Lepisosteus oculatus: one gene and its partner. The protein of the gene in region 1 purifies or fractionates together with the protein of each later gene. This does not show direct contact. Links are inferred from orthologs where the notes say so. Each region holds a gene or a part of one and is shown on either strand. Other genes may lie near its edges.

Region 1 (10,693 bases):
ATATACTGTTTAACTCCCTACAAGGCAACTCAATAGCAATGAAAGTAGCATTCTTTCAAGCTTAAACTTTCATTTTTCATTCTGTATCTGAACAGTTATGAAATCATTACCAAAAGTAATTTTTTTTAACAAAGTTCGCAAACATGGAGGTTATATTACTTGCACAAATACTGGAAATAGAAGTAGTCTGGAAACAGATTCGCGCACTAATGCCAATACTCTCACTGTCAATTCAGACAGAATTAATCACATACTTTGCAGTGGTACAGCTTGTGAAAGCAGAAATCAGTGGTATAATACCTGCGGATGCCAGAATGGTGCAGTGGAGAGCGTGCTTGAGGGCCTCTAGCCGTTCACTCTCATGTACGATAGATTTGTACGACAGCTCATTGTATCTCTGTGCTGCCTCTATGAACTTTCTCCTGTAGTCCAGAACTCTGGCATAGCAGACCTGAGACGATGGGTGAGAGCAGAGACCAGTTACTGGGATACCTATGAAAAAAGGTTCACTCCGTGTGAAGGATTTATGACTCATGACTTCTCTTGAAATCCAAAACAATAACAAAACACCATCATCATGACTAAAAGCCACTAGAAACAAACTCCCATTCATCAACAGGTTGGGAAAAGGGAGCTACCTTGTAGTGGATCTGCAGCTGTTCATTAGTGGACTCATTCTGGAGAAGAGAGGCGCGGTTGATGTAAGCTTCTGCCTGTACCGGGTCGTCATCCTCTAGATACAGACGAGCGATCTTGAGGTATGTGTCTAGCTTGTAATCTACATTGTACTGCCTGGGAAACAGACAAAAAGAGTAGTGATCATTTCACCAGTCCGGCACAGCAGAACTCAGTAAAGTAACTGAAGACCCCACTTACTTCTGTCCCGTCTCCAAAGGAATTCCAACTAGGACTTGAGCAGCATTCCTCCAGTCCTCTTCTTTCTCGTAAATTGTTGCCAGGTGTTGCCGGATAGATGCCACCTATCAACACATTAAATCAAAGAAGGAATAGACTTAGACCTTAGAAATGGGTTTCTATGGTCTGCCGTTCATCACTTTAAGACCAAAACCTCGGCTGTCGCTTGCATGTATTCATCGTATCATGTGAGTAACAAGAAGTGTAAAAAGCACTTGCTGCAAGAGGTGAGTCTGGAGAACAGACTCACTATGAAAGAGAAATAGTTCCACCACTCAAACAAATCAATAAATACAGCAGCATAATCGGATTTTGCATAACATCACATTCATGCACAGATCGGATACGTGATTAAAAAGTTAAGACAATCAATGTGAGAACACTACTTAGCCATTGAAATTTGAGCCAGCACCTTCACTATGGTTTGGCAAGAGACCAAAAGACAGACTTCTCAGGTATACTGAGTTCAACTACAACTTTTTAAGACATGTATTATAGTATTTAAGGCCACGACAGTGGTGAGGAAGGTAGCACTGCTGCCTCACAGCTCTTATCTCCTCCAGGGTTCGATTCCTGACTGGGAGATCCTTTGGGTGGAGTTGGCATGCTTCTCTCACTTCCAGTTAGGCTTTCTCTGGGTGCACGTTTCCTCCCTCCTTCCAAAGCCATGCTGGCTAAGCCAACGAGCGTCTCTAAATTGTTCTTGTGTAAGTCCCCTGCGCTGGTGACCCGTGTATTTTCATCTGGTACCCTACAATCCAGGACAGGCTCCCTGTTGCTACAACCTCAGCAAGGATAAACAACTGACAACAAATGGGTGGATTAATAGATTTGTGAAGAAAGCATGTTGTTTAATTCCTTTTGCAACTTAATAAAAGATGTACCCTTTCCAAGAATTAAAAGAGAAGGTTGAACGTCAATGTCACAACACCAGAGCACCTCAATAGTATAACAGGGGACCTGTAGCTACCATAGACAGTAGGGCGAAGGCAGTGCCCACATATGGTGCCAGAAATTTTTAAGAAGAGATATGCACCCACCTGCTCTTCAAAGGAGATGACCCTAGGCTGGATTTTGTCTAGCGTGAAGTGGTACACCTCCTTAGCTGTGCTGTCTGGGAGGTTGGGGAGGTGAGTGCAGAAATCTGTAAGCAGCTGCCTGGAGATCACCAAGCTGACATTCTCATTAACCACTGGGGAAGAGAGAGAAGACCCGGTACAGTGACACATACCCTACCGACACGAACATTTCACTCAGCACAAGAAGTGCTGACGTGTTACATTGCACGAGAAGGGACTATTATTTTTTTTTAAAACCCAAAATGACCATTTCAGATCAAAGACTACTTAGATCCACCTCTTACAAGAACAAAAGAAAAAAAAAGCTGCTTGAAAGATAACAACAAATGGCTTTCCTGTACTTTTGCTATAATCTGGACGGAGAAATTTACACAAAACTGTATTTTAAGAAGAAATACAGTCCCAGTTTCTCAGACCGGGTTATTAAATCTTCATAACAAAATAAATTCATTGACGTTACAGAAAAAATTACAAATTTCAAATGAAGCACAAAATCCTGAACTTTGTGAAAGTAATGCAAGTCGCCATGTTGTCGCAAACACAAACTGCGATGTGATGCAGCCCTTCCTGCTCATGTAATGTGATGAATACACAAATAAGTACAGGTTGTGCAGCAGACATTTCACAACAGGAATGTTCCAACGTGATATGCATGCAGAGTTAAGCAGCATTTGTTGGCAAAACAGTCTAAATCGAGAGCAATATTTCTATTGGATTAACTTGTGGCTATTTTGTGATGTAAATTAGAGGTTTTACAAGCTACTGTGTTCATTTTTCTTTAATTGTGGTTTGAAATGCACTCTTCAATGCTGATTCCTTCTAACCCCGAAATATAAAAATAGCATTGCAGCTCCCCTTTAACACACACATAGCTTAAGTTCAGCTTCTAATATTTCAAAGCAATATAAACCCCACTTCACACATTCCTAACTGAATGGGACGACAAAAGCAAATTCTGCAGCAGTACTTACTGGCTTCAACAAATGCCTTCAAAGCCTCCAGCTGCTCAGCACCAGTAAATTGAATGGCCTTTTCAAGTATCTGTCGGTACCTGTAATAAGAAATTGTTTGTAAGTCAGTAGCACTGGTGTGGCAAAACTTATTCCACAGGTACTTCCAGAGCATAATTGCGATCACTGCAGTGTTTGCTCCAGGACACAATTCACACCATCTTTTCCTAAGAAGTTTTGACATTAAAAAAGTAAACACCTAATCAGAGACAAAATATGTAAAATATAAATCAAACAAACGTTTCAATAAAAGCTTCAATAAAAGTCTGAACATTTTCCAGCTACATTAAAGGAAATACTCACATTTTTCAGTCAACCGTTCACTTGAGGAACATTGTTACAGCCAAGACAAACTATTCCATATGTATCTGTCTACATACCCAGGGGATAAAATGGGATTCACTCATTCGTGAAATTAAACAGCAGGCTGAATAACTCCCATTGCACTAAAACATTATGACTTTATCCAAATGCTATTTTTAAAAACAAGATCAGAATAGACTTGCCTAACAAAAGGAAAGCAACTGGACAATGTTATATACTCGTCTCCAATCCAGGAGCCTCAATCCAGTAAACCTAATTAGGCACAACATAAGGGAACACTTGCATGTTACTGATCAAGTAAGAAAGTCAATTAAAAGCTCAATTAAGGTAGTGCTGACATTTGCAGTTCCAAATTATTTATTTATTTAATACTGTATAATATCCTAGAATTGATAATAATTCTAAGTGTTTGAAAAAATTGAAGATCAACATGTTATATAAAGCCTTCTGGATAGGAAGTCTCCAAGAATATAGCTGGCAATGCTTTTAATATAAAGCAAACTAAAAATTCCTCATGCTCTCGAGGCATGTTTGTGCACAATCAGTTGGTCTTTGTTATGGAAGTAAAAACAGTTGGATGATGAATCATTTTCATGTGTTTTGCAATTTTGTTAACCCTGTTAGCATCTAATTGTATTTCATAGCGCCACTTCATCAATAAACCTAACTATCGGGCCTAAAATACATGATTTTGGTAAATTATTCGCAGTGTAGAAATGTATCTATCCACAAATCTTGAATATTGCTCAAGCCGGTTAACTATCGGACGTTGAAATATAACTTATTCACGGCGTCTTCAAGGAGCTGATCAGTCTAAGGTCTCCTCATTCAAAAGCAATTTTAAATAATGTTTACGCACCGTAAATTATATCACGAAAGAACCATTATATACATAATATTATTATTAAGTATATAACTCTTATCAACAAAAAGCTTAACCTTGTAACTTCCGATTCAATTTATACATCTAAAATGGTTTTACCAAAAAAAAACATCTAGGTGAAAACCCCACTCATTCATGACACTGCGATTGTCACATCACTAGCCGGTACCCAGAACCGCTTTACTCAAAATGCTGGAGTTAATGGGAGGCCTAGGATACCGTCCTCTTCTCTGAAAAGATGTGCTCTTTCAGTTTTTAAATTTTGTTTTACTTACTTTCCAGCAAGATCTTTGTGAGATCCGCTGGAGTTCATGAGCTGAGCCAATTCCTGTCGGACAGCCGCCGCCATCTTCTCGCCCCGAAACACCAACAACGACTCTTTTCTGCAGAGGCTGCAAGAGGGAGTATTCTTTCCAACCAGAAACAAACCTAACGGCTGCCGGATTGCAACGCCTCGGTCCTCCAAGCGGACGAAGAAGGCGCCGAATCTGTCAAAACACAACCAGGAGACCAAACTCGCTCTTGCGGCTACGTCACTTAACCGCGCAAGACACGTGTCGTCATTATGGCGCGCATCCAAAGACCTGCAAAATACTACTCCAAAATAAAAGCCAAGTAATCAAAAAGTTTTCGAATACGCTGAAATGAAATTATGTGTTCAAAAATGTTGTTTGTTTGTATATATATATACTTAAATAGCTGTTTAAAAAATACAATAACAAATGGGCCTACTAATTCGGTTAACATAAAAACATGCTGTTTAATTATGTATTACGTCCTGAAATTTTAGAACTTTATTTAAAAAGATGGACATTTTGAACTTTGTCCTTTATTTTTACATGATGTTAGTTCACCAGCAGTGCACATTTTTAACTGGTGTTTTTAACAAAAATGTTTTATTAAAAAAACTAATGTTTTATTGAACATTAATGCAAAGGAGAAACAATATCTAAAAAGTAAACGAAAAACACAGAACTATGTTGCTAAATAAGTTAACATTTTTACATAAATCGGTTATACTTTTTGCCTTGCTATTTTTAATTGTTTTGATTGAGTTTAAATAACACTGCATTTCCACATTATCTGCATTAAATCAGAGTTTCATTGTACCACTTTGATTTGTAGATGTGATACCCAGTCAGTAGTGATAACAGATTAATTATACACTTTTTATATTTAATCTTGTAAAGTATAGCATAATATCAAACTTCTTAAATTTTAGCTGCAGTGCACTTTTTAATATTAAAAAGTGGGAATGACGAAAGAAGAAGGGAGTGGGGATGGGAGGGGGGTGTCTGCACGTCGTGCGTGCAGTGACGAAAGACGCAATGCGTGGTTTCCAAGGAGGGCGCGGCAGTATTATGGGATGGTGGAGGTGGAATGGCGCTCGGCGCGTGATTTTGAACAAACGTCTCCGTGTGTCGGCGGTCTGGATGCAGCAGCGCAAAGCCGGGCTCGGCTGGGGTTGTGTTGAAAAGATACAAGAAGGCGCCGACAGCAATCACAGCTGGACACGGAGCGCATCGGGGATCTCCAGTAAGACTTGCTCGGGGCAAGCAAACACATCCCAAACCGAGAGGGACGGCTGAGGCATTATAAGCACCAGCTTCCACTGACTATTGTAAATAGCATCCAGGCACGGAGCCCGATTTCGTGTCTCCGCAACAAGAGAACGTCCTGGCCTGACAAAATGTCTCCACTTAGGCTGTCAGATCGGAACGGATGCTCGTCGTGAAGTCCATGAAATCGGTCATCGTTGTTTATTCTTAGCTACATAGGTCTTTTTCCTGATTATTTTCACTAAACAACACCTGCCCCCGGACCCAGGAGAGAGTGCGAGAGAAGCGCTAAAGAGATGTCGATGACAGCCAAGCCCATAGGTCACCTACAACCCTCATTTATTTGGTAGTACAATAATCCGTCTGATTTTGCGTTTCTTGTGACTCCTGTGTCCCATGTACACGCGTTTTCACCCTGGAATGCGTTTTATTTTAAAGAACCTGTAGAAAATCGCTGAATCAAGGGATTTGTTCACGAACAAGGGGTAGGTATCCATTTTCCTCAGTTGTTACAGATTGTCATCCTCAACGATTGACAGCTTAGTGGTAAATTCAGGACGTATTGGACGCCGATGTAGGAATACGGTTTTATTTGATCTATGCAGATCTGTCTCCTAACCGCTTTTAATCTTGTATTATATAACTTTATATACCTTTTGACAGTTTTAGTTCCAACGATCCCTTTTGTACTTCCTACAAAATCACATCACTGAAGTGATCAAACCATAATTTTGTAACAGGTTTTTAAACATAGCTTTTAGATGACTACTTCTTGTCATGCATGTATTGGTTTTAAACAACGCTGTTTTGTCTGAACTGGAACTTTTGTTATATTTAGGAATTTCGCGTTCTGTGATTGAATTGTATAACCACTATAATACGAGGCACTGTTATTGCAAACTTTATTTGAAAGTCATCTGAACCGAAATATATTGCAGCTCGTTTGATATATAACTGTGTGTTTGCCAGCCTATTTTCAACAACGTTTTGCTTTAAAATGAGCAGAAAGCCCAGGCTGCTCTCGCGTGCGGGGACTGGGCTCTGCGGTGCGGCTCTGCGTGTTTTTGTTGATCTTCCTGTTCAGGAGAAGCCTGTGGAGTTTTTAAGTTGTGAACTTTACATTATTTCGTATCATCCAGGAAATGCACAGCTACGTGCTGTTTACGGAGCACTTAGTTTGCTTCTCTTGAACCGGGATCTGGGGGCGTCCCCCCCTTCCCCTTCTCTGCCTTTTATTTTCGTTTCGTCTTGTTTTCGTGGGGCTGGCGATGTTGGTTCTTTCCTGTGAAGTTGCACTGATGACGAGGTGAAAATGGCGGATCTTTCGAAATCCAATCCCGGCCTGAAATAGAAACATCATAACATTCACAGCAGGCAAACTGTCAAGTCAGATTTTTAACACAGAGCGAGAAGCCAAGGAATCGTTCGTTTAAACAAACTGCCTTCCGGGAAGTGTAAAAAATGAAGAGCGAGTCTGCGTCTCCTTTTTTATTTAGACCCGCCGGTATTAATTTGGCGGATTGTTGAGGTAGGACAAAGATTATTTTTTGATCTTCAAAGGCCTAGCTGCTGTCTCTCTGGACGGTTCATTTGTTAGATGTTTTTTGAAAAAGTTTTATTTTAGGCTGCCCAGGCATACGTCTCGCGTTTAGCAGTTGTCAGCTAAGTGTGAATGTGACCCTTTTGGCCAGCACAGCAGAAGTTCGTTTTCTCTCCAGCTTCATTAATAATACAGGTAGACAAGGCTCTTATTATTTTTCTGTGCGGCTTGAAGTTGATCGTTGCAGTGTTTAGGAGACCGGTGTTTTTTAAAGATCTCTGGCTGAAAACCCTTAATTACGATGACATTTTTCCGAATAAAACCAGTCTCTTCCTCTTTGTTTGTATAGCTTTTGCGACAAGATGACTGTCCTTTTCTAGCAATGGGTGTTATCTGTATCCCGTAGAGCAAGACGATCTCTTGTGTAATTCCGAGACCCCTTGATAAGTATTGGCGATTAAAGCCTACGTAGCATAAAATAATTGTAGAGTTAGTTGGTCTGTTCTGGCGCTAGGTTTAAGAGTGACTTTCCTAAAGCGCCTGTCACTCTTCAGGAGTGAAACACAATCGCTTTCTTGCCGTCTTGTCAGCTGGACTCGTCGCTTGCACACCTACTTAAGACAGGTCTCTTCCGCAGAAATGGGAAGCTTGCATTGATGAATTCTTCTCTTTGGCGAAAGGTTCCCTGAAACGGATTTATTCCATCAGTAAAAATACTGCCTGTGCAGTAACTGCACAAAATTAACTTTTTTCGAAAGGTCTTCGTTCATATGATTAAGATTTGGAGTGAAAAGATAGCACAAGAGAAGGAAGTTAACTGGATTTGGCTAGGAACAATAATATTTGAATGTGAGCAAAATATACAACAAAAAACGTGTTGTACCAATGTTTTTTTTTTGTAAAAAAGGAGATTCACTAAGGAAGTTACTTTTGGTTAAAATAACCCACCTCCCTCTGCAGCCTGAGTGGAGAAAAGGGGCTGGAGTAAATCAAAATTTGAACCACCAGCCCATCCTGAAGTCTGCAAAACGTAATGGTGGTTTTCCTTTGAGCTGGAACAAGGTGCCCTTTGGCAAACCGCTTCATTGGAGCATAAGAAACGTTACAGATTAGGCCCATTTAGTACGGCGTGGTCGTTACTCATCAAGCAACATGTATCGTTTTCCGATTGCAGTAAAATTAAAGTTTGGATTTGACTCTTGGTCTAAGAGTAGTAAGTACTGCACAAAAAAACGGAACAGAAACAGGTAAGGCAGGAAACCAGATTTTGAAGCACCACCTTTGCTTTTAATGAGAGATGTCAGCAGCTTCAGACCTGCTTGGGCCACTGCGTGCGTATGACAAACCCACCAAAGTGGCAGAAACTTTTCCACAGTCAACCAAGGAGGGCTTAGCGATATTTTTAGATTTGTCCAACATTTGTTGAGCTCATTTTTATAGGTTTGTCAAGCTGCCCTGCAGTGGCAGATGGACTGAGTTGATTGCAGTTGGTGCATTCGGTGGAAGCAAGGTTATAACTCGAGGCCTCTGGGCCTCAGCAGACAAGAGGCTTATTGAAATTTTAATATGGAAGAGGAAAACGCAGAAGAGCAGGTGGGAGGTTTATTTTCTAGGTGCCCTATAAGAGCGGATTTAAAAACTCTGCATGTCTCGGTATTTAATCCAGTCTCCTGCTTCAGCCGTAACAAGCAAGAATATACAATATAGGTCACAAAAGAGAGGAGGCCAGATGGCCCGTCTGTGCGGTTTGGTAGTTAGTGATCCAAGGATTTCATCCAGCTGTTTTTTGACAGCTGTTTTTCATTGGCTTCAACCACTTGTGGATGGCTTTGGCCATACTCTTACAACCTTTTGTGTAAAGAAGAGCCTCCTGTTGCTGGTTTTAAATGCATTTCCACATGGTTTCCAGTAGTGTTTAAATTGTACCCTTTTGACTATATATCCTACCTTTTTTGTTGCTTACCCTCGGTTCTCTTGAAGATGGAAATGATGTGTTGATATAAATGCCTTTCTTTTTCCATAAGTAGTTTCTTAAAGCTAGGTTTTTCCCCATTTTGTACGCATAGTTTTTACTATCTGCATGAAACACCTTCATGTGTCTACATCTAATATCACATTTGTGGCAGTAAAACTACAGGAGCTACAATGACCTATGTGGCTGGTATTACGGCACTAGTTTCAACATGTACTGCTGGTAACAAATAGTATCTGCATGTACAGCTGCTCAGAACAAAGTTTGTTTTCCAGTTTTTATCCAAGCATTTCCCTTTTCATGTTATTTCAGTGAAACCATGTTTTAATGTGATTGTCACTAAGTGGATGTGACAGGCTCGTTTCTCTATGTGCGCATCTCTCTAACATGAACAAACCTTGCCTTTCAGCACCTTCAGTGAGCTTAATTAAAACTACGTACTTTTTTCCTTTTATTGTCATATATTCATGGTGCATTCTTTCACTAATTTCCAGCATGAATATGAAAACGGGTGGCACAGAGATGCAGTGTTAGCTTTGCTTCCTCATAGCACTGGAGTCCTGGGCTTAGTTTCGGACCTGGGGTGCTATCTGTGTGGAGTTTGTATGTTCTCCCTGTGTTTGTGTGGGTTTCACGAGGGTGCTCTGGTTTCCTCCCACGGTCGAAAGACATAGAGGTAGATTAATTGGCATCGCAAGGCACACTCTTACCAGGGACCATTTTCCCCCAAACCAGAGTGCATCCTGCCTCATTCCCTTTGCTTGAAGGAATAGTCACAGGCTCCCCCTTGACCCTGAATTGGAAGGAGCAGGTAGAAAATGGATGGAAATATTGAGAATGCTTCACGGTTTAACGTGGTCATTGCTTGTAATTTCACGGGGGCTGTGTTTTGTTTCTTTCTTTAATTCCCTGGTTCTTGAATGTTTTTTTTTTAAATAAAACATAATAAAGAGGTGATCTGTTTTGTTCTGATAATAACCCTCACCTTTTTCTTGTGTGTCTGAAAAGGTGCTGTACGTGCTTTGTTTTTAGGAAATGCTTGAGTTGAGATAAAGGGGAAATCTGCACTGCATTCTTTTGTACAGAAACCTTGTTGGTTTGCGCCAGTGTTTTTTTGGCTTCGGTCAGGCATTCTCAGATGTCTCTGAGATAATTCCAGTTGCATTCTGGGTACCATTAGTATGTTACTTCCTAGACGGTGGTGATCGTTTCTGCGATGCCTGCCTTTGTATGTTATGACGCTGAAAAAATACCAGGCTGTTATGTCATTTTTGTGCACTTAAAAACGTTGGAGCTTTATTTAATGCTTGTGAAAACTGGTAGGTTCCTTCTAATTCTGGGGAGATATGGTTGTGTACTAGCAATGTAGGGGAGTAACATCTTGCCATGGCCTTAAGCCCTAACCCTTGCA
Region 2 (10,652 bases), on another chromosome or scaffold:
TCCCAAGCCTACCAATTCTAAGAGGCTGATTTGGTTTTTCACGAATGCATTTCATTAGTCAGGTAAAAGGCACATTTATGAGCTGCACCAGGTCACAGATGCGGTCTTGTGGGACTCCATTACAGCAGATTCTGGAAGAAATCTTCACCTGCCGACTGGTCGTTTAGCGCTAGATGTCACACATGGTCCTAGTTCAACCCTGGGGCTCAAGCCTGCTGTGAAGGGTATCCACGGTATGGCTGTCACATGTTCACCTCACAGGAAGCATGAGGATGTGCACTGTCCTGCTGGAATGTTGTCATGTCAGGATGGGCAACCGGAGAGATTCAACACGGTGCCACGCAGTCAGGTCGCCATCAGTCAAATGCACTTCAGTACCGATGCGACACTCCTGCTAAGACCTTAAAGCTTGGGCTTCACAATCACCTATTCGGATGTATGCAAACATTTGCAAACTCACTGTTGCTCAGTCCTCCTGAACTGACTTAGCCCAGTCTCCAACATAAAGATGAGAAAAGGCACTCTTCCCTTGATAAAGCAGGGCATAGACGTTCCTTCTTGTGTTTTTCTCAATTTTAACCTGTATCTCCTGTGCTCAATCAACACTCACCAATGAGGTGATTTAGGGCTTATACAACAGTCAAGCGCACCACAGTCTGACTAATCAAAATGACAAGAAAAACATTTAATCAATATTTAATGTCACTCATACATGCTTAATGTAAAATCATACATGCTCATCTTTTTATGCTCAGGATATGAAGACGACAGGCTTACCTGATAGAGCTCCTCGAGGTTGTACTTAATGGAAGTGCTGTTCTGTATGGCTCCGACAGCTTCCTGAAGTTTCAGCCATGTTTCCTGAGTGTAGGTTTCTGAGAGCTTTGGTCTATCTGAAAACACAATACTAAATTAAATCAGAACACCCATTAAATCACTGAGTACCAGAGTTCGGAGTGCTACTGTGAAATGACCAAAAAAAGTGTCAGTAAATAAGCCTCATTTCAGAACTGGTGATTTACAGAATTTGTGTATTTCTATAGCCTGCTCACATTTTTTTCCCACAATATGCTGTAGACTCACAGGCTCTCAGGGCTAGGAACAGGTTTGTGTTGACATCCTGGATGTACCCTGATAATCAACGTGATAACAGCTTGGACTCAACATCCTGTAACAATCAAAAGATTATCCCTGACTTCCAAGACTCAGATACGTTAACTGGCAGATCTTGTTCTTCTTTGCAAGAGTTGTACTCTATTGTCCAGCCTAGATAGCAATTCTGAACGAGGACGTTGAAGTAACAAGTCCTTAATGGGCTACAGCCACTACTCATTCACAGGGGAACAATTCTTCAGAGGTGAACCACTTTGGTTGGCTTTCCAGATAATCCTCAGGTAATGACCCCTGACCAGTAACTCCCAGGCCAATAACTAACTCCGTCCCACTTTCGACAACATCCATCAGCTGAAAATGCCCGGAAGCAGTATGAGGAGCTTGGCGACACACTGAAACCACAGTCAACAGGCTAAAGGACTCCGGAGGGGATCTGTTTTGGTTTTGTTTATATAACAGATGCGCAGTCTACGCATGCTGACGCAGCTACCCACCTGAACTATAACAGAGGTGCGTTGCCGGAGTATTAATCATTTAACTTTCTCAGAGGAAACTGAGCCTAATAAACAGTACGTATTTACACAAGAACAGAGGCAACTGACATTTCGAGAAAAACGCAGGTGTGGAGTCCCCACTACTACAGGGAGACGCCGCCGCCTGAACTGGCCCGTCAATCGCGTCAATGATCCCCTAGAGTCATTTACGGTGCGACACGACCTGGGTGCCTCTTCGGCTTCAGCTCTGCAGCGTGCAAAGCTGCTTTCCCCAAGTGTCCATAACCGGCAGGAAAGCGAGCCAGGACCCCGAGGCACCGTCCGACACTCCGGCCCCTCGCCTTCAAAACAGGGCAGGAACCGGCCGGGAAAATGGATCTCCACCTTCCTCTGCGTTTTCCATTTGTAGCATTCCGGTTCAATGGACACTTGTTATTCCAGCTTCGTCCATGTAAGGTTTGTCTGGATTTGCATAACGTCTGGACACAACTTACAGTATTTCCCCCGTGTCCTTAATTAACTAGAATTCGTTATCCATCACCTGACCAAATGCGGGACTCTGCGCTCAGTAATCGGTAACAAATCAGTAACACTGATGTTGAGGGTGCAAAAATACTTGTCACTAACTGACAAAAACCAAAAAATGCAGAAAGGCAAGACCTTTTACCGTATCTATTATTATTTTCCAGGGATCCCTTGTATCAGTCCTTAAATCAGTAACGTTTATAAGGGGGCAGGCGATGAAAAGCGTGTCGGCAGCAAACTGACCGCAACACGGTGTCAAATGTTTCCAACAGAGTTTTATCCAGGCCAGCCTCAAGACCTCAAGCCTCAAACGAATATTAAAAGAACCCGTCTGGTTTCTCGTCTCCGGAAAAAAATATATGAATTGAAGCTTTTGGGAGGGAATAAAAAAGACTGCCCGTAGCCCATACATGTGTATGTATGTACAGAAGTGCTCTCTTAATTGTGCTGGTGTTGCTGGGTATAAGGTACAGTACTGTAGCTGCACTGAGTCCAGCACCGCACTACAAGCTCATGTATTTGGAGAAACTTCTGACCTGTGTAGCTTCGTGTAGGTTTACATCGCTCATTCAATACAAACGGCCCTATTATTGGGTATATTGAGGACATAAAGAAAAAGAAGAAGAAAATGTGAGCAATTCACACACACCCCCCTATGTGTAAACGTTGCACGAACATCCTCTCTAGTGCAGTGGCTCTTAGCCCGGGCTGCGAGGCATGCCGGGTTTGTGAAGAAGGTAAAACGAGCGGAAAAACACCAACGATTTCTCGGTTTTCGGGGACGGGTGCGGGGGCTCAGAGCCGCGACTCCTTCCCGAGCCCGGCAGGCAGGAGGGCGACGGGTCCGCTCCGCCGGACGGCGTCCAGGAAGTTCAAGCCGAGTTGGGAAATAACGAGTGCCGCCTGGACGAATGGCGACCTCTGCGGCACCCTTTCTAGAATGTGCACGGAATTAACTTCCAACTGTTATGTAATAAGGCCACACACACACACACAAAAACAAAAACAACAACCACCTCACCGACGCTCAGTCACGCCAGTGTTAACCACTACAATCCCGGGCATTTAAAGTCATCCTGAAGCGCTGAACAGCTCAAGCTCGTTTAGAACCAACCTACTGTAGTTGGCTACATTTTTTACTATTTTTTGTCAAAAGAAATGTTTAAGGATACATTATAGCCAGACCGTTTTTTTTGTTTTAAAAAAAAACTGGGCTTATTCCGTTTATCCCACATGTGCCAATTGCCAGCCGTCGCCAAGCCTGGCTGCGGACAAACCTGCGGACCCGCGTCCTTCTCCGCCGGACCTACCTTTGAAGTTTTTAATGACTAGTTTCTTGGAGGCCCCCGGTTTGGAGGCGAGCGTGGAAGTTTTAGTGAGGCCGTTGGTGTGCTCGGCCAGCGCGGAGAAGTTTGCCTTCGTGCTGTGGCGGATGTCTTCTGCCATCGTTACAGATGGAGGGCACGGACAGCGCAAGCGAAGACTTTCCTCCTCTGAACTGGGTGCAAAGTGCCCGAGTAATGGTGTCTCTTAGAGGAAGTCTCTTGGAAAATTGTTAGGCTTGCCGTTATATCATGCATGTGTCCGGTGTCCCGAATGCCCGATCCTTGACAGGTCGCTACAATGGGCTTTTGTCACGTACTCCTCCAACATTACTTCCTCGCCATGAGCCTCCTGGAACCTGTTAGTATGAATTTATTCTCGTATAGGTGCAGCAAGAAGTACGTTGCACTTGACCGACGCGCAAAAAAAAAAAAAGGACAAAAACTATCTACAGTCTGTGGCAGGTACATCCACGACTCCCTGCTTCTCTGTCGCTAAAAAGTTAGTCATTATACCATCGCCAGTTCTTTACGGATGTGGAAACTCCACTCTATAAACTCCACTGAACAATCTCAGCAGCTTCATCTTTGGAAAACAAATACCAACAAAATGGCTTCTTTCTCCACCTCCTAGCCAGTGCATCTTGGGAGGATTTTTTTTTCCTAGTCTGCACTTGACAGTAGTTCAAAAAGAAATTAAAGGGATACAGTTGCACCAGAGAGTTTAGGTCTGGACTTGTAAAACCCCCCGAAACAGTTTTTCCGTATCTTGCAATGCTCCTGCTATATCCTTACAGTCCTTTTAAAAAGGGGGGACACCGCGTTCAGAAGACTTAGAATAACTTACTCATTGGGCATACTGAACACGGACGCGATGCCACCAACTCGGACAATATTGAGGCAAAAAAACGTGATCTGAGCCATTCACACTGGATGACAGCATTAAGATTCGCCGTCACCACACATCATTTGCATTTTGCAAGGCGTCCTAAGCACAAGCAGAACCTTTCATGAATGCATTTTAGACTTCGCATACACCTTACTAAAAATAAAAAAAACGCCCGGCGCTGTACGGCACAATCAGAGTGTTTGAAAGTTACTGTATAATTGTGAATGCTGTGTCTTTAACAGGTAGCGCGGTCATGGACGCTGCCAACAGGAAGCAGATCGTGCGCATGACCTTACGCGCCTGCCTGCTCGCTGCAGGACTGTGCAGCAGCGGTTCACGTCGCGGAGAAGCATCTCTGATGCCGAGACAAAAATAGGACTGGAAGTGCAAAGTACGTGCAGGGTTGTGTTCATGCGAATAGTGAGTACTCCAACTTGAAATTAAAACGCGTCTAGTGACCGTGTAACTGAGGAGGCATCGCTACCGGTGGGGTTTTTTTTTTCTTTTTGGAAACGTCAACGGTTCCAAACGTCGTTGAATGACTTGACGGTATGACTGTGTTGTCGTGCCAAAAACTTGCAAAAAGTCCTGGTTCTGCGAAAGAAAACGCAGCATGCGTTAAAGACGCAAACATATGGATGGCGAAGAACGTTAGGGTAATCCATATTTTACCCACAAGATGATTTTTGTATTTGAAGCCGTGTCCTCCTATCCGTTTAAATCACGCATCTCGTGAATAATTTTGGTTGATGTTATAATTATGTGTCCATGCTTGTCGTCTCACAAAAAAAATAAACTATTTTCCCTCTTTCATTAGGCTTTCCATCACGGAACCAACATCAGCGCAGGAAAGAACAGCTTGAATATCTTCAATGGCACACATAACAATAAATCAGTACCTCCAGCAGGTATTGTGTAATTTACGACCTTACAGCTATTCAAAAATATGTTATGAGGCTTGAATGAGGATAGACTTGTGTTTATCGTGAGATAACTCTGCCTCGACTTTCAGTGTCCTCTTCTGGCTGGATGGCAGGAGAGCTGTAAATGAGTTTTGCATCCTTCGTGCCAGGTACTTGAAGCCACCGACACCAGAGACGGAGCATTCTGTGCTGAGCTTTTGTCATTCAAACACCCCCATGTGGCCAACCCCAGGCTTCAGGTAGGATGTTCTGTACTGTCCCAGTACTGGCCCTCGCAGCTGCCAGGAACCTGCGATGAAACATCAACCTGCTCAGTGGTCACGTTGGCCAAGTCAATGTCAGTGACACGACTGCGTGTGCAGCACCGAGTGAATCAGAGTGAGGGACTGGGGTAGATCTAGTGAGGTGCAAGGGTTCATTGAGCTTCAGAGTTGGGTTAAGGTTAGAGTTGGAGTACTGTACAAGCTAAGACAGGGGTGGGTCCCAGGTGGCCCATTCCTTTAAGGTGCTCGTTAAAATTAACTCGTTAATATATTGTTTTGTTGCAACAGTTTCTCTCTTCCCTCTCTGGGGCTGTTAATGCATTTTACTGTACATAGGTTAATAGGAAGACTCCAAGGTGAGGCTATAGTGCTCTGCAGGATTCAGGATGATCTTGCCCAATGATGTGCATGATCTTGGCCTCTCGTAGTGGCACACACTGCAGGTCTTTTATGTTCATATACCGTATGTGCGTCATGTGTCATGGACAGGCCAACCCTGGTTCTGTTGAGCCTCAGTCCAGCGGGCTTTGTGGGGTATCCTGACAATCTCTGAATGCCTGGAACACATTTGCATTGACTGCTGAAGCTGGGTTTTGTTAAGTACTTCACTGATCAGCTGAAATGGAAATTCAATTGCCCTGCATTCTCATGGGCCACAGCTGGCCATATATTTAACTTACTAAAGAGATCAAAACTCCCTTCACGCACTTGGGAAACTTCTGAATTATACAGGCCAAAATACAGGGGCTTGTGTGGGCTGATGGTACTGTACGTGTCACTGTGCTAATTCTTGATTCTTAGCTCCCCAGCCCCGAGGAGAAGTGCCAGCAGGTCCTTGAACCCCCCCATGATGAAATGGTTGCAGCACATCTGAGGTAAGGCGGGAGGATTTAAGGCCCTGGTACTGTGGTGTATCTAAGTGCCACAGTATCCTAGGGTCTGCCTAATTGCACAGTGACATAGTCAAATTAAAGCTGACCAAGAGGTGGGTTGTCAAAGAAGCTTAGGCAGTCTGTTCATTATTCTGAATTATGCTGGTCATGCAGAAACAAATAGTTTTGAAATTCACAAAATAACGCCCAACAACGTCAGTACAACAGATTTGGAGTTGCTTTCAGTGGGAATGTAGCACAGAATTAAGTATTTGCTTGAGGATGCTGTAATCCTTCTGTTAATCCAGACCTTGTGTCCTTTTCTTTCTCATTCCAGGTGTACATATGCTGTAGCAAATCATGACTTTGTGGAAGCATACAAGTGCCAGACAGTAGTGGTCCAATATCCTTTAATACAGTATGGTTTGCAGTACCTTTCAAATACCTGCAAACTTTTTGAATTAATCTTAGACCATTTGAATGCTATTTACATCAGTGAACAGAACTTTACTGAGAATAAGTACATTAATCCTTTGCTGAAGGATTGATTGAATTAGTTTATCATTTGCATCAGAGAAAGCCCCCAAAAAGCATTGTGGCATCATCAAAATAATGATGCAACCTCATACCGAAAAGCTGCATCAATACAATTCTTTTTAAGCCACGGGATGTTGTCAAAACCTCTTTATGGTATTGTCACGGCCAAATAGCAGTAACAAAGAGCTACCGTATAATTCACTTGGCAGCTCGAGATAAATGTCTTGCATTTTGTGAATGTGGCTGTTCTGTGTGATACAGTAGAAAAATATTCTTCAGAAATGCATTGAATTTGAGCGAAAAGATTTAGACACAGTGTCAAATCTGTACTTTTATAGTGCAGTGATATTTGTGATATGCACTTTAATCCTGGATATTAACAGCTGCTTCTTTTTCCTTAATGTTTTACATCATTTTTAAAAGCATTCCAGGCTCACAAGGAAGAAAACTGGTAAGACCTAGCAAATCTCATCTATACATTTAACACATTTTACAAACGTCTTGATGCCGGCATTATTTGAATAATACATTCTTATTGTTGTAACATTTTTGAATCATCAGTTGCTTGCCAAAATGTAAAATCAGACAACTGATCCAAAGATTTTTCAAACTCAACATACTCAAGATTGTAACTTTGGGCTCACATCATCAGCAGGTATGAGTATCATTCGGTTCTTCTTGAGTTTATTTGAATGATGCAGTTTTCAAAGTTTGGTGCAGTGCTCACGTTTGTGTGCAAGTAAGGATATGCAGTAAAGTAAATCCACGGACAAATAATTGCTTTCTTATGGGAAGGTTTCTCTTGTGAGTCCACTGAGACAGAATGGGCAGTTTCCATTCTCCTGCCTCAGAGCTGGGCTTCATGTGCTCCTTACATCTTTTTCTAGTTTCTCTCCATTATTTCTGTTTTCTGGAGATCCAGACCAAGCAGTAATTGTAGTAGTAACCCTAACCTGAACTCAACTGATGCCATAATCCCCCTCTTACGTTGAGTTCTGTGGCCTTAGTCTTTGGTCTCTTATTTAGCCTGTTTTTTCCAGGGCCCTGCCAATAATGTATGCAGTGGGATTAGACCTCCGCATCTTCGCCAACAATGTAAGTGGTTGTACTGTAAATGTGTTCTTTCGTGATGTGACCGTAGCTGGTGTTCAGTGAAAGCACTCTTTGCAGTCTTCTTCCGTGGGGCAGTGCAGTAGAGGTGAGGAAAGTGTTATCCGCGGTGTTCACTGGGCCAAGAGCAGCATCGAGTGCTCGGGGGAGGGGGGGGCGACTTCTCGGCTGGAAATCTCGCGCCGCAGTCCGCCCGCAGGGAGCAGAAAATGTGTGTGCCTTCCCCAGGCGGAGCAGCAGCTGGCTAAGAAGGGCAAGGGCAAGGTGGGGGACATGCTGGAAAAGGCCGCCGAGCAGCTCATGAGCTGCTTCCGCATCTGTGCCAGCGACAAGTAAGCCCCGCTCGCTGCGCGTCGTTTCCTCGTTTCGTGCTGAAAAGGAGAGCAGACTCCCGCCTGAAGAAGGCTCCGCGGCCGAAGCGCTTTGTCTCTTTCCTTTTTCGGCACGGAATAGACCTTTACTCGTTCCTTTGCAGCCCACGCATGCTGACGCAGCTCCCCAGAACTAGGAACGTGTCTTATTGATTTGTGGGTTTTTGTCTTCTGGTAGCTCTTTTTTCTGCTGTGTGTGGGGGGGAACAGTAGACTTCATATAGCAGTGGTGTGCAGTCTCGGAGCTTTTCTTTCTAGAATTCTCTCTAGAATTGAGCCTTTTCCGATACCCAGGGGCAGCGGTTCCAAGTCCTGGTCCTGGTGACTTTCACACCTGCTGGATTTTATTCCAGTGGAGCCCGCAGTTACACAGTCAAACCCTGCATTGACTTCATCATAGTAAGACCAATGTGAACAGTCTGTTCCCAGCTCTTACACATGTTGGAGCTTTAACCGGTGTGCAGGGTCAGCCAAAATGCTGTCATCAACCTTGACGGTTTATTACAAGTTAATGACTTGGGTTACTGTGACAAAAAAGGTTTCAAACGAAAGCATGAATAACAAAGTTTCCAACAGTTACCTTGCAATTCTTCGCCACCCGTGGAGGAGGAAAAACTTTAGTAAAATAATTGGCATTTATACTTGTCGGCAGCGTTTTGACTAACCCTGTATTTTGTAAGTGAAATAAAATCCCAAACGTGTGACTAGAAACAAAATGCAAATATTCCAACGAAGCAACTTCTTCGATCCAGTGAGGCTTCAGTGATCTGATGAAGACCTGGCTTCTGTAGCCTCTGTTTGCTCCAGGATTTCAGAACTTGGTGCACCGTTGTCGCTGGTTAGTTGTCGATTTGAAACGGCGAGCCGTAGGATACAGCCGAGTGCAACTTTCTGTTTGAAGGACCGGGAAGAGTAAGAGGTTTCAACCGCTGGGTTGTTTTTCAGCCGCGCTGGCATTGACGACTCCAAAAAGTGGGGGATGCTGTTTCTCATCAACCAGCTTTTCAAGATCTACTTCAAGGTAAGGCCGATGTCTTTCGGTGGGCGTTGTCGTCTCCGCAGCTGCGCGCGTGCCCTGCGGGAGGTGCCCTGATCGCTCTCCGGTCGCCCGTGTTCCAGATCAACAAGCTGCACCTGTGCAAGCCGCTGATCAGGGCCATCGACAGCTCCAACCTGAAAGACGAGTACAGCATCGCCCAGAGAGTCACCTACAAGTACTACGTCGGGAGGAAAGCCATGTTTGACAGCGATTTCAAACAAGGTGTGGATCCGGCTAGACTTGCGAATTTAAACTGATGTCAAGCGGCTCTTTTTCAAGCGCAACCGCTGGGGCTCCTCTCTGCAGCTTTTAATACAGTAATAGACGAGACTGCTGCTCGGCTGCCTTTTCAGACTAGTATTTCTTTCCATTTGTGGGTCTCGGTTACCTCTGTTTAATGTACATTAGATCCTTGTTTTACGCAGTCACTGCAGGGACAGCACAGTCCATGCATAGCTACTGTATGTGCACAGTATATTGCCAGTCTTGGCCACCATCCCTCGCAGTCCCTGTCTGTGTACTCTATTGTTGTCTAACTGTAGCCTTTGTCTGTGCATTTTATCCCAAAGTATCTTGTCCCACATACTGTCTTCGGTTATCTACCTCGGCATCAGCCATCAGCACCAACCAGACATTCGATCATCACCGTTCAGTGTTTATAAGAGCTGCACTTCCTTTTTTGTGGCCTTTTCCCTTTATTCTGTATGTTTGTTTTAATTACGTCTGTTTATTTTGTGTTTTACGTAAATGTGAATTTTATTTGTGTTTGTGTGTTTTATATGGACTTCATATATTATCATTAATTTATGTATTTGTCATCTCAGGTCACGCATTTCTAATTATTTCATTACTGGGAATGTTTCTTTCACTTAACCAGTTTTTGGCTAACAAATCTTTTAATTTCTGGCCATGTTTTTTCATAATTGCGCTTCACTGCGGCTACACATGCCTGCATACTAAGCTCCTCTCCATACCTCCCTGCCCTGAGTTTGAACAATCCTGTGGATTTCTTGGCTATTTCAAGAGTTGCTTTAAATCCAAGATGCTCCTCATCCAAAAACAGCAAGGAGACCTGCAGGTTTTAAGGCTTGTGCACCGGTGCTTTGTGAAGGCTTGGTTTCTGATGGTCGTTTGTCTTTGACTGCCCCTAGCGGAAGAGTACCTGTCGTTTGCCTTTCATCACTGCCACCGGTC

What was found.
Region 2: the proteins of cops4 (region 1) and cul4a purify together in Homo sapiens (affinity purification with mass spectrometry; 7 studies listed by BioGRID and IntAct, with this or other methods). This does not show direct contact. The link is inferred for Lepisosteus oculatus from reciprocal best matches to the Homo sapiens genes COPS4 and CUL4A.

What each region holds. Positions count from the first base shown.
Region 1 is NC_090698.1:27,533,234-27,543,926, reverse strand, and holds the start of cops4 (COP9 signalosome complex subunit 4), read right to left. Parts: upstream 4,765-10,693; 5' UTR 4,561-4,764; coding exon 4,487-4,560; intron 3,046-4,486; coding exon 2,966-3,045; intron 2,108-2,965; coding exon 1,956-2,107; intron 981-1,955; coding exon 877-980; intron 793-876; coding exon 639-792; intron 452-638; coding exon 301-451; intron 1-300. UniProt on the Homo sapiens protein: Component of the COP9 signalosome complex (CSN), a complex involved in various cellular and developmental processes.
Region 2 is NC_090710.1:28,723,357-28,734,008, reverse strand, and holds the start of cul4a (cullin-4A), read right to left. Parts: upstream 4,352-10,652; 5' UTR 3,579-4,351; coding exon 3,443-3,578; intron 894-3,442; coding exon 778-893; intron 1-777. Other genes in the region: pcid2 (PCI domain-containing protein 2), read left to right, coding at 5,216-5,251, 5,416-5,505, 6,331-6,404, 6,739-6,806, 7,350-7,389, 7,979-8,033, 8,277-8,380, 9,365-9,440 and 2 more. UniProt on the Homo sapiens protein: Core component of multiple cullin-RING-based E3 ubiquitin-protein ligase complexes which mediate the ubiquitination of target proteins. As a scaffold protein may contribute to catalysis through positioning of the substrate and the ubiquitin-conjugating enzyme.